Nothobranchius furzeri: one gene and its partners. The protein of the gene in region 3 binds, or shares a complex with, the protein of the main gene of each other region. Links are inferred from orthologs where the notes say so. Each region holds a gene or a part of one and is shown on either strand. Other genes may lie near its edges.

The links.
Region 1: the proteins of atp8b1 (region 3) and cell cycle control protein 50A are in contact, whole or in part, in a cryo-EM structure (PDB 7VGI), measured with the Homo sapiens proteins. The link is inferred for Nothobranchius furzeri from reciprocal best matches to the Homo sapiens genes ATP8B1 and TMEM30A. Residues at the interface, in NP_001361314.1 of Homo sapiens: Thr138, His359, Trp362, Glu363, Val366, Ser369, Ser370, Trp371, Tyr372, Leu373, Tyr374, Asp375, Gly376, Arg384, Ile388, Phe418, Asn420, Trp421, Asp422, Leu423, Tyr426, Lys430, Asp431, Thr432, Pro433, His939, Trp942, Arg946, Tyr968, Phe971; in NP_060717.1 of Homo sapiens: Lys24, Thr25, Arg26, Arg27, Pro28, Asn30, Phe33, Lys34, Gln35, Gln36, Arg37, Leu38, Pro39, Ala40, Trp41, Gln42, Pro43, Ile44, Leu45, Thr46, Ala47, Val50, Phe54, Ile57, Phe61, Ile64, Ile68, Ile75, Phe119, Tyr121.
Region 2: the proteins of atp8b1 (region 3) and tmem30b are in contact, whole or in part, in a cryo-EM structure (PDB 7VGH), measured with the Homo sapiens proteins. The link is inferred for Nothobranchius furzeri from reciprocal best matches to the Homo sapiens genes ATP8B1 and TMEM30B. Residues at the interface, in NP_001361314.1 of Homo sapiens: Trp362, Val366, Ser369, Ser370, Trp371, Tyr372, Leu373, Tyr374, Asp375, Gly376, Phe418, Trp421, Asp422, Leu423, Tyr426, Asp431, Pro433, His939, Trp942, Arg946, Tyr968, Phe971, Asn972, Gly973, Ser975, Ala976, Gln977, Leu1003, Gln1005, Phe1049; in NP_001017970.1 of Homo sapiens: Gly9, Ala10, His11, Gln12, Pro13, Asn15, Phe18, Thr19, Gln20, Gln21, Arg22, Leu23, Pro24, Ala25, Trp26, Gln27, Pro28, Leu30, Ser31, Ala32, Ala35, Leu38, Phe39, Phe46, Leu49, Leu53, Tyr109, Tyr111, Asn116, Phe117.

The regions. Positions count from the first base shown.
Region 1 is NC_091758.1:36,702,207-36,704,759, forward strand, and holds part of cell cycle control protein 50A, read left to right. Parts: intron 1-416; coding exon 417-524; intron 525-945; coding exon 946-1,033; intron 1,034-1,131; coding exon 1,132-1,272; intron 1,273-1,343; coding exon 1,344-1,553; intron 1,554-2,553. UniProt on the Homo sapiens protein: Accessory component of a P4-ATPase flippase complex which catalyzes the hydrolysis of ATP coupled to the transport of aminophospholipids from the outer to the inner leaflet of various membranes and ensures the maintenance of asymmetric distribution of phospholipids.
Region 2 is NC_091758.1:27,091,674-27,095,618, reverse strand, and holds the end of tmem30b (cell cycle control protein 50B), read left to right. Parts: intron 1-2,686; coding exon 2,687-2,865; 3' UTR 2,866-3,362; downstream 3,363-3,945. UniProt on the Homo sapiens protein: Accessory component of a P4-ATPase flippase complex which catalyzes the hydrolysis of ATP coupled to the transport of aminophospholipids from the outer to the inner leaflet of various membranes and ensures the maintenance of asymmetric distribution of phospholipids.
Region 3 is NC_091746.1:72,924,535-72,928,784, reverse strand, and holds the end of atp8b1 (phospholipid-transporting ATPase IC), read left to right. Parts: intron 1-192; coding exon 193-438; intron 439-697; coding exon 698-836; intron 837-917; coding exon 918-1,048; intron 1,049-2,394; coding exon 2,395-2,640; 3' UTR 2,641-3,734; downstream 3,735-4,250. UniProt on the Homo sapiens protein: Catalytic component of a P4-ATPase flippase complex which catalyzes the hydrolysis of ATP coupled to the transport of phospholipids, in particular phosphatidylcholines (PC), from the outer to the inner leaflet of the plasma membrane.

The DNA of each region.
Region 1 (2,553 bases), on a different chromosome or scaffold from region 3:
CAAATAAATAGTCCTCTTTACAATTCACAGGGAATTCCTCCAGCACTAATAAATGAACTCATCTAAATTCCACAAATGTGGAATGACCTTCCAAGCACTATCAGAACAGGGGCTTCCTTTTCAATTTTCAAGAAACTCCTGAAGACCCTGCTCTTCAGAGAGCATCTTCTAAACCAGCACCCTGCCTGCACCCGTCCCCCCTCTACCGTCCACTCCTTTGTTCCCTACTCTCCATGATTGATGTCAAGTTGTTGTTGTTGTTGTTGTTAGCCTCAAGGGCAACATGCCGATTATCACTTGTAAGTCGCTTTGGACAAAAGCGTCTGCTAAACACATAAACATAAATTCAGTGAGTGTAACACATGAAACTGTTTCCTCCTTTCTAATCTGCGTTTGCGCTCCTCCCTCGCCTGCAGAACAACGTCTACATGTACTACGGCTTGTCCAACTTCTACCAGAACCACAGGCGCTATGTGAAGTCCAGAGACGACAGACAGTTGAACGGTGATGCGACTGCTTTAAAGGTACGGTTCTAATCGTGTTCATCAGGTAGAGTCCGGAATAATGTCTGTAGACTTTTCTAAACTGCGGGTCTTTGCGTTCGCTGCTCCTAGACTCTGGAACGTTCTCCCCCGTAGTGTTCGACAGGCCCCAGAACTGGGTCGGTTTAAGTCGGTACTGAAGGCCTTCTTCTATCATTTAGCTTTTATTCAATGATCAAGCTTTTAGTGTTTTTATGTTTTATTGTGACTCGGTATTTTATTGTTGTTTGTTTCTTTCACAACTTTTAGATTTTACCTCTTAACTCCTATATGACTTTTATCTGTTTTTATCTCGGGGTTTGTTCTTTTTACTGTACTGCCTGTTGGTCAGCTGTCATGCTGTTTTTAAATGTGCTGTATAAATAAACATGGTATGGTATGGTAAACATTTCCCTTTTCTCAGGATCCCAGCAACGATTGTGAGCCTTACCGTAAGATTGGAGTGGAGACCATTGCACCGTGTGGAGCCATCGCTAACAGCCTTTTCAACGGTGAGCCGGGATCTGCTGTCGATTGAAACGTTCTGTAGAAGTTTTGCTTAAACCTGCAGATTTGTGTTCTAATTAAAAAGCTCCGTTTGCTGTTTCAGACTCTCTGGAGCTGTATTACGTAGAACCCAGCGGCGCCCTAAATGCAGTCCCTCTGGCGAAGAAAGGGATCGCCTGGTGGACGGACAGGAACGTGAAGTTCAGGAATCCCGCTGGGGTCGACCTACCTACGGCTTTCAAAGGTGAGCTTTTCAAACCGAGCGTCTGTAGAGGTGTAATCGCTGGAGGTGACCTGAGTAGCTTTCCCTCGCAGGCACCGCCAAGCCGGTGAACTGGAGGAAGCCGGTGTATGAGCTGGACCCGTCCGATCCTGATAACAACGGGTTTATCAACGAAGACTTCATCGTGTGGATGCGCACGGCTGCTCTGCCCACCTTCCGGAAGCTCTACCGCATCATCCACAAGAACCAGAGCAGCACCTCTACTCTACCCAGCGGGAGATACGTCTTGAACATCACCTACAGTATCCTTTACACTTCAAACTGTTTACAGCTTACTCTTTTCGATTTCAACAGGTCAGGAATATTATGGTGAAGCTTTAAAATCTTACTACACTTACACAGGGCTGGGCCGTTTGGGAAGATTCCTATCAGCCGTATTTCCATATCAGCCGATATTGATACACATCAGGATAAAGTTTAATATTTACATGCTCCAGTGGGCGGCTCCAAGGAAGAGGCTCCAGCTGCTACTTTACATCTGCGCGGCTCTGTTCCGGCCTCAACACGGAGCAACTCTTACCCGGCCTTTCCACTGGATGCGTAAGCGGCGTGTGACGTAGTAGATGCGCTTTACCTGCCAGCTCAGCAGCGCTGGGTGTCTCAGACACAAACGGCAGCACACACGTACCGCACAGCTGGTTCAGCAAGGTCACAAAATCACCAGAAAATCACAAGACCACGCGCGATTTCAGCAGTTCAGCCGATAGCAAGCAAGGAGGAAGTTGGCGGCGTGCATCGTAAAAGGTCTGGTTTGTGTTCCGTTCGCCTCGGCTGTGGACGTTTCTCAGATAATGACGTATACATTTTTACTAGTTGATCAACGGGAAAGCCACGTGTCTTTTATTTTGAAAGTTTCAGGTTTTTCTACGCTGCATTTGTGTTAAATTTAGCAGAGCGACGTGTCACTACGCTTATGGGATGCATCCAACATGTGACGCTTCTCAACCAGGGGAAACGCCGACTCTAACGGCGGTTAATTGCTTCGTATTAGGCTTCGTGGACGTTATGCGATGCTTACGCGTAGGGCTAGGCAATATGGCCTCAAATCTATATTGCGATATATCTGAAGCATGTGCTATTACGATATATACTGCAATATATTTTTTCCTTTGTTTATATATGTCAAAATGACATGCTTTAAAAAAATCCTCATATGGAAAATGTATTGCAGCAGAATAAAGACGTCCAAAAAGTGTAGAATGCTGCTCCTCCTCCCGCTACGTGCTTGCGGTCACTGCCATT
Region 2 (3,945 bases), on a different chromosome or scaffold from region 3:
GCGTTGCCAAGCAATTCCCTGCCAGGACAACAGAGGGCGTAGCGCTGTTCTGGGGTATCCTGTCATGTATCCAGTACTACTGTGTTTATATTGTGTTTTTGTATTTGAGAGACTTAACGCAGATAAAATTTGTCCCTCATCCTCCTCTTCATACACTCGCCACATCTAAACCCACGTTTCCCATCATTTTCATCCTCGAGTAAAACGCTTGCTGTGTTATCTTTTTACTCCTCCACTCACGGGTGAATAAAGCTTTGATATTTTTTAGTTTTCCCACGAGGTATTCTTCAAGCTGCTCCGTGTCTGCCGGCTAGATATCTTCGGCTTTCCTTATGTTTTTGAGGGGGCAATGGCGGCGCTGTAGATGATGGTGGCTGTTGATGCCAGCGCTGCAGCGTTAGCTCGGTGCAGCCTTGGGAACCCAGCGGGCTTACAGATGGTAAACAAAGACAGTGTCCCTCTTTGGCCTTTTTAAAAAGAGAAAATCGGACAACCCCTCCAGCTTTCTGAGATTGAAATCTGCTAAAGTAACTTTCCTTCCAGCATGATTGAGACATTAGCTCAGTGGTCTAGTGGTAGTGTCCACCCTGAGACTGGGAGATCAGGGTTCAAGTCCTGGTCGGGTCGACCCAATGCCTCCTTGATTTACACTCAGCTTTGGGGGGGGTTAAACCACCAAATGGTTCCCGAGCACGATTGTGTCTGCAGCTCACCGCCCCCCCCAGGGGATGGGTCAAATGTGGAGAACAAATTTTGCACACACATCGGTGTGTGTTGCAACTAATGGGACTTTGATTTTAATTGCTGTTTTGTGATTATTTCACTGTAAATTCTTACTTATTGTACCTGTAAATAGAAATGATCAGCTTCATCCCTAAACTATTGGGTCAGATGAATACCAAAGCTCTAAGAGTTTCATGAATGAGGCTTCACGGTCCAGCCACAGAGCAGCCTCGGCTCGTGTGACTGGTTAGGTTGGTTCAGTCTTTTAAATGATTTGAACACAACGACTTAGGAGCTTTTACAGGAGCAGCAAGACATGCAAATCTTCTGTCATAGGAAAACAAGATAAGCAAATGATGGTCTTCATCTACCCAGAAAGAAACTATGTAAATGAGACTCGACTGCATTTTTAAGCTTTGCACTTTTGACTAGATATTTTGATATATTTAACAGAAGGATCTAAAAGTGCTTATAGAAAGATCATTTGTCTGTGCATTTTGCACGTTGTGCAAGTTAAATAATATTTGCTACAATACCAGTTTGTGAATGCACAAAGGTTTAGTTTTAATATAAAATCAAATCAAATTTTATTTGTAGAGCACTTTTCATAATAATCAGCACAAAGTGCTTTATGTAAAAAAAAAAACGCATCAAAATTCCACAGCCAGTTCAAACTCCTTGCACACACCTTAACCCTCGCCCCCTTCACTGCACACCAGGCAGCACAATCAAGTTTGTTAAAGTTGAAAAGTTAAAGGTAAAAAAATGCTGTGAAAAAATGAGCTAAAAATTGTTCAAATATATCAATGAAAAGCTAAGTTCAAAAGGTAGGTCTTGAACCTCTTTTAAAAAAACATAAGTACTTGCAGCAGCTCCGAGGCTCTCCGGCAGACTGTTCCACAGACGAGGGCCATATAGTGGGAAAATGATGCTTCGCTGTAAGTTTTGGTTCTACCTTTTGGTTTGACTGAAATGCCAGTACTGGAGGACCTCAGGGAACACGGGTTCATAATTTAAAAGGTCGGCTAAATGGGAAGGTCCAAGACCATGGAGACATTTATAAACTAAGAAAAGAACCTTAAAATCAATCCTAAAATGTACAGGAAGCCAATGCAGCGATTTTAAAATGGGTGTAAAATGTTCCTGCCCTCTGGTCCTGGTCAGCACACGTGCTGCTGAATTCTGGAGTAAGTGTAAGTTCCAAATACTCTTTTGGGGTTGACCAGAGAGCAGGGCATCACAATAATCAAATCTACTTAAAATATAAGCATGTATTAACACCTCTGCTGGCGAGAGAGAGAGAAATGGGCGGACTCTGGTTATGTTTTTATAGCCTGACCTGCTAGATTCTTCCTCTGTTGAATTCTGCACAGAGAAAGAATTAAACAGAGGAGTCTGGCAAGCCAGGCTAATATTTTTAGGTGATAAAATCCTATTTTGGTTATAGTTTTGGTATATGGAATAAAATTAAGCTCAGAGTCAAAGAGGGCACCCAGATTTCTCACTCAGTGAGAAGGTTTGAAATTGTGTAGTTCTGCAAAAAGGATCTCTCGCTTGTTTGCAGGACCGACGATTAAAACTTCAGTTTTGTCCGGGTTGAGCTGTAAAAAGTTTTGTCATCCATGACTTTATATCTAAAATACAGTTTAAAAGTAAATTTACTGGTTTGATGTCATCAGGGGACACTGCAATGTGAAGCTGTGTGTCATCAGCATAGCTGTGAAAATCAATACCTTGTCTCCTGGTGATGTCTCCAAGTGGCAGCATGTAGCTTAAAAAGTGTTGGGCCTAAAATCGGTCCTTGGGGAACCCCACACTTAATTTCATGGGTTCCTGAGGATTAGGTATCCATACTTATGAAAAAGCTTTGATCTGTGAGATAGGAGTAAATGGGACGGTAAAAGAATGTTTACACAATCCATGCTTTAGTGGTCTTTGCAAAGCCTTAACATTTGTCCCTCAGACTATCCTGTGAATGGTTTTGGTGGGAAAAAGAAGGTGGTGTTCAGCAATGTCAGTTGGATGGGTGGAAAGAACGAGTTCCTGGGCATCGCCTACCTTGTGATTGGATCCCTGTGTGTCGTCATGTCCGTAGTTATGCTCATCGTCTACGCGAAGTTCAAGTTCCCTGAAGACAACTGAGTGTTTGTTTAGGGATGGGTGTTATTAGAGGATTCCCAGTCTTTTTTTTTTCTTTCTTTCATAAAGAGGATTAGGTTGGTGCTCACACATATTGTCTTAGGTACTGATCTGAATAAGCTAGGCATTCATTTTATTGTGCGTATTTTACCACTGGAGCTTTTACGACATCTATATTATTCAACTTGTCTGCCGTATGTCTTAGAAAAGTGTAAAAATAACAGTAAAGTTGGGGAATTTTTGTTTTTAAAATTTTTGTCCATTTACATGGAATGACTTTGAAAGGTCAATCAAGTTAAAGCCATATTTTACATATGAAGCCATTGACGCTGGTCAGACTGTTACCTTTTAATTGTAACTTTCTGTACATTTTGTAAATATGCAAATTCCAACTCAGGGATACGGTTTGTGTTTATTTAAAGCATTTTAATGTTTGAAATTTGAGTTTTTACTTTATGATGTAGATATTTCTTGAATTAAACATCAAAGCTATTGTTTCATTTCTGTTGGTGAATTCTGGAAACTTGGTCAAAGGTGTGATTTTGAAAGTGGACGATCTTTACTCTGTATTTTCTGATTCCGTTTGAGTTTTCTCCTAAGTTTGTAAATTGAAGACATTCTGAATTAACTCATCCTTAAATGATCAGACAGCGCCAAGGTTTTGAACATCATCTGGGATATGTGGGTTGGGTGGGGGATAAAGCAGACTTAATTTTCCCTTTTCCTTAATTAATTAGGATTAAAACATATCAAAGAAATTTATAAAATTTGAAAAAACTTATTTTTGTGTACTTAAATTTTACGTTTCACTGATGATCATTATTTCACAGTAGCTTATAGCAAACAGGTGGCTGTACAAGTGGTCGTTGATTTAATCTTTAACACAGATAATTAAGATTTTTTGAGTTTTAGTAGCTCTGGCTTTCCCGTTATTTCGACTCACTATGCTGTTAACTCCAAGTTAAAATTGAAGTAATTTTTCAGAGGTTAGTTTTATTTTGAAAGAATGTATAGGAAGTGCTGATGAGTTATGCCTTGTTTAGCTTTATGACTTCTCCCTGTAGTAACCGCTTCTTTACAGCA
Region 3 (4,250 bases):
GTGAACGAGTTAAAAGTGACTTTTCACCAAGTAACAAAGCTTTTGGGTCCAAAATTTTCAGGGAAAATTTCTCATTTGTGTTAATTTTTTGAATATTTTACTGAAACCCAAACTGAAACCAGAAAATCTTTTGTATGTTAAAAATAAAAACATAAAAATAAATGTGTTGTTTCCTTCCTCCTCCTCCTGCAGGACGTGAACGACAGACTGAGTCTGAAGTTTCCTAAACTCTACCTCCCTGGCCAGCAGGAGACGATGTTCAACTACAAGAACTTCTTCATCAGTTTGTTCCATGGAATCTTTGTCTCTCTCATCATCTTCTTCATTCCTTACGGAGCGTTCCTGCAGACGATGGGGCAGGATGGAGAAGCTCCGTCAGACCTGCAGTCCTTTGCCGTGGTAACCGCCTCATCTCTGATTTTCACAGTCAACCTGCAGGTGAGTCACCTGGTCCGAACCATCGCTGCTTCAGGAGTCGACGAGCTTATTTAATGTTTTTCAGTTTGCTAAACAATCTTAAAACATCATAATGGAGGAAGATTTGGAGTTAAAAGGGATTTTTTACGTAATTTCAAACAGGTGTTTTTCATGATTTAGTGTTAAATCGGTTTCTACATCAGTCTGATGGTCAAACGTTCAGACCAGAACTTGTGACAGAAAACTGACGGGACTAAAACCCAACGGTCTTGTTGGGCAGATCTCTCTGGACACGTCATACTGGACCTTCGTCAACTGCTTTGCCGTTCTGGGTAGCATCGCCATCTACTTTGGGATCATGTTCGACATCCACAGCGCAGGGATTCATGTCATCTTCCCCTCGATTTTCACCTTCACAGGTCAGTCAGTGGGGAGGATGCTGAAAGGTGGAGATGAGCTGAAAACGAAGTGTCATCTTGTAACCATGTTTGTGTCTTTAGGCGCGGCGCCCAATGCCCTGCGTCAGCCATACCTGTGGTTAACCATCATCCTGACGGTGGGCATGAGTCTGCTGCCCGTCATCTGCATCCAGTTCCTCTACAAAACCATCTGGCCTTCAGTAGGAGACAAGGTGAGACCAACAACGTCCACGTTTAGCCTTGTGGAGTCCTTTTCAGCTCTCTGAAGTGCTGAAAGATCAGAACCGGCCCAAACCAGGCTGCTGGGATCAGCGGTTTGTGCTACAGTGCATCACGGGTAAAGCTCTCTCGTTCGGGACACAACTGTTGGGGTGCTTCTCAATGTCAAGCCCCCTGGCCTCGCGAGGCGATGTCTGGCGAGGCCAGGCGCCTTGCTTACGAGAACACCGTCCTTCCTCGGTCAAAGAAAAGGGTTAAACGAAACAGAACTGCATCATGTGACCGCGGCCTACACGTCACATGACACGTGAGGCAACGTTATATTTTATACGTGTAAGTTTCGATATAAATGTATAGCAAGCCTTTTACTGTTAAAAATACATTAAAGATGTAAGTGAGTTACTACCTGATAGCCACCAAAGATGCAACTAACCAACCATAGCTAACGTTTCAGATTTCAGCCTGATGGCCACAGTTAGCAGACTTGCATCTATACTGGGCTCCCAAAGTAGCTGCCAGCTTCCTTTTGAAAATACCGCGCTGTATTCTGGGAATTTGTTCCTCGACATTGAGGAACGCCCTAAATCTGCTCTAAGCTACTGTAACCTTTGACCTTTTTAATGGAATTCTGAGCATTGACCTCTGACCTCAAGGAAACCTCCACTCCTAGATCAGGGACTGTCTTGGATATTTTCCCCCTTGTGTCTCTGTAGAATAATAGTCTCCAAACACATTTAGAGACGACCTTTGACCCTTCCAGATTGACAGAAAGCCACAGATTTATTTAACCAGGTGAGTCGACGGAGAATCGTTGTCATTTACGGCCAAGAAATATGACGGCAAAGCTGTTACAGCGGGACCTCATAAAGGCCGTCGTCACTCAGACTTTCATCTGAGTAATCTGGACGTCTGAAGGCAGTCAGAAGCTCTTTGGTGTTACTGATCGTGTCGAGTTGAGGGCAGATGTGAGATTTAGAAGAGTTTAGTGGTTTTTGCAGCTCATTCCGGTCGTTTGGAGCAGGAAAATGAAATTGGAACGGCCAAAAGTGGTGCAGGCTTTGGAATGATCCTGGAGAATAAGTGGAGCATAAATTATGATGGATAATAGGGAAAGCTGCTGCTCTTGTGCCTTTTCTTATGTTAACACACACCTGTATACTCCAGAGAAACCAACTGAATGCACCACCTTCATGAAGTTTTAGTTGCAGGAATATATTTTGGCCTTTTGGAGGAAGTCTGTTTTTAAAAGGTCCCGACAGAGAAGACTAAATAAGACCCAATGCTGAACTTGGAGGTGATTTTCTGCTCTTAAAGACAAACTTTTCCCATCCTCTTCCAGGTGCAGAAAAACAGGAAGAAGTACGAAGAAGACCTGAAGAGGAGTGAGGAAGAAGAGGCGAGAAGGAAAAGGCCAGCGTTCCAGAGGGATCGGCCTTCGCGTCGCTCGGCGTACGCCTTCTCTCACACCCCCGGCTATGCCAACCTCATCTCCACTGGGCGGAGCATTCGACGGCGTCCTCAGGCCCGCGGAGGTCCCCAGGACGGCACCAGAGAGCATTCTCGCAGAGATGCCCAAGCCATGTGAGCGGAGCCACAGCTGGAGGAGCTGTAAACATCTGGGAGCGACTTAATTTCTGTGGAGTCGCTGAACAGCTCCAACTTGGTTTTTATTCTAGCGTTTGAACATTGAAGTGCCTCTGACCGGTGAAGCTCCAGTTTCACCATTTATGCACGAACTCTAACAGAAAAACTCACCGAAGAAACCACCGCCGTCACCGGGGGTCAGAGGTCATGCAGCTCCAGCAAGACCACAATGTTCCTTAACTCAGGATTTTCCTTTTAAATGCGTCTCTTTTATTGAGCCAGTTCTGTTCCACACCGGTACGACTGACGTGAAACGTCATTTAAATCTCTAAACAGATCGAGCCTCACCTCTTCTCGGCACTTAGAACGACGTTTTAACACATTTTAGAAATCATGTCCAATTACATTAATTTTGACATCTGGGTTTTATCTTCCCTTTCCTTCAGATTAAAACTGAAATAAGGCTAAACTGTCAGAATACCTTCTGCTTTACTCGGATTAGTGGTGGGATATTGGTGAACCAGGCTGTGTGAGGTGTTTGAGCAAAATCACTGTTTTTGGTTAGACATTGTATGAAATCACTGATTGGATTAACTTTTGTCCTTTTTTAAAAGATTTTTTTAGGAACTTTTTTTCCCCATTATTGGTTTTCTTCTCAGATTTGTTTTAAATTCCTATAAAACAAATAAAAATGTTTTTTTTTATTTACCATCTATACGTTTTAGATTTAACGTGTATCCAGATGCTTCTAACTCCTGTGGGTGAAGCCTTGGTGGTGTTATGAGTTTGTTGGTACAGGAGCCCCGTCTTATAATTTCTTTGTTTGTTTTCAAAAAAAATCTGTGTTCGTGTTCTGAATTACCGCGTTAAACATATTCAGGCCTTTATACAGAAAATTGGGACGGAACGTTAAACTCTTAATCCGACTGTCACGGATCTATCTGATATGACTATTACTGATCCGATGGTCCCGTTACCGGTCCCAACCAGACTGGTACCAGTCCTGTAGGTCAGAACTGCTGCTCAGTAACAGTTTCTTCCTATGATGTGGTTTTGTCGTGTGGTTGTTAATAAAAGCCAAGGGCACATTTAGCAGTTTAACTTGTTTTTTTTAAATCAGGGTTTTCTGATTAATGACTGGTTTTGTTGACAATGGTAACATTTATTACTGATCAGGTAATAAAAACAACCACAAAAGCCTGGAGGAGTTAATTTGTCTACATCTGGAGTCAGAATTGGAGGAAATCCCATGTTTCATTATTGCTTAACCCAACCCTAAAATTTAAAACTATCAAATAACCACAAAATTAGTCCTTAAAACAAATGACAAGTTTAATTCGCCACACACACACACACACACGGGAATAACTGGGACTCGCGATACAAACTCGTTCTGGCTGATTTCTGCCTAAAATGTAATAAAAAAAAATATACAAACGAAAAATATCTATAAACTGAACCGCTTTAAGCTTTTAAGGTTTCTATGGCTAGCTCTTAACAAACTTACTTTTAAAACTTCGTAGCTCTCCCCATTTTCTCTGCCTGTTGAAAATCCACTGCCGGCGCGCAAAGCATGCTGGGATAGCCTTGTTCTGTGAGGATACAACAGAC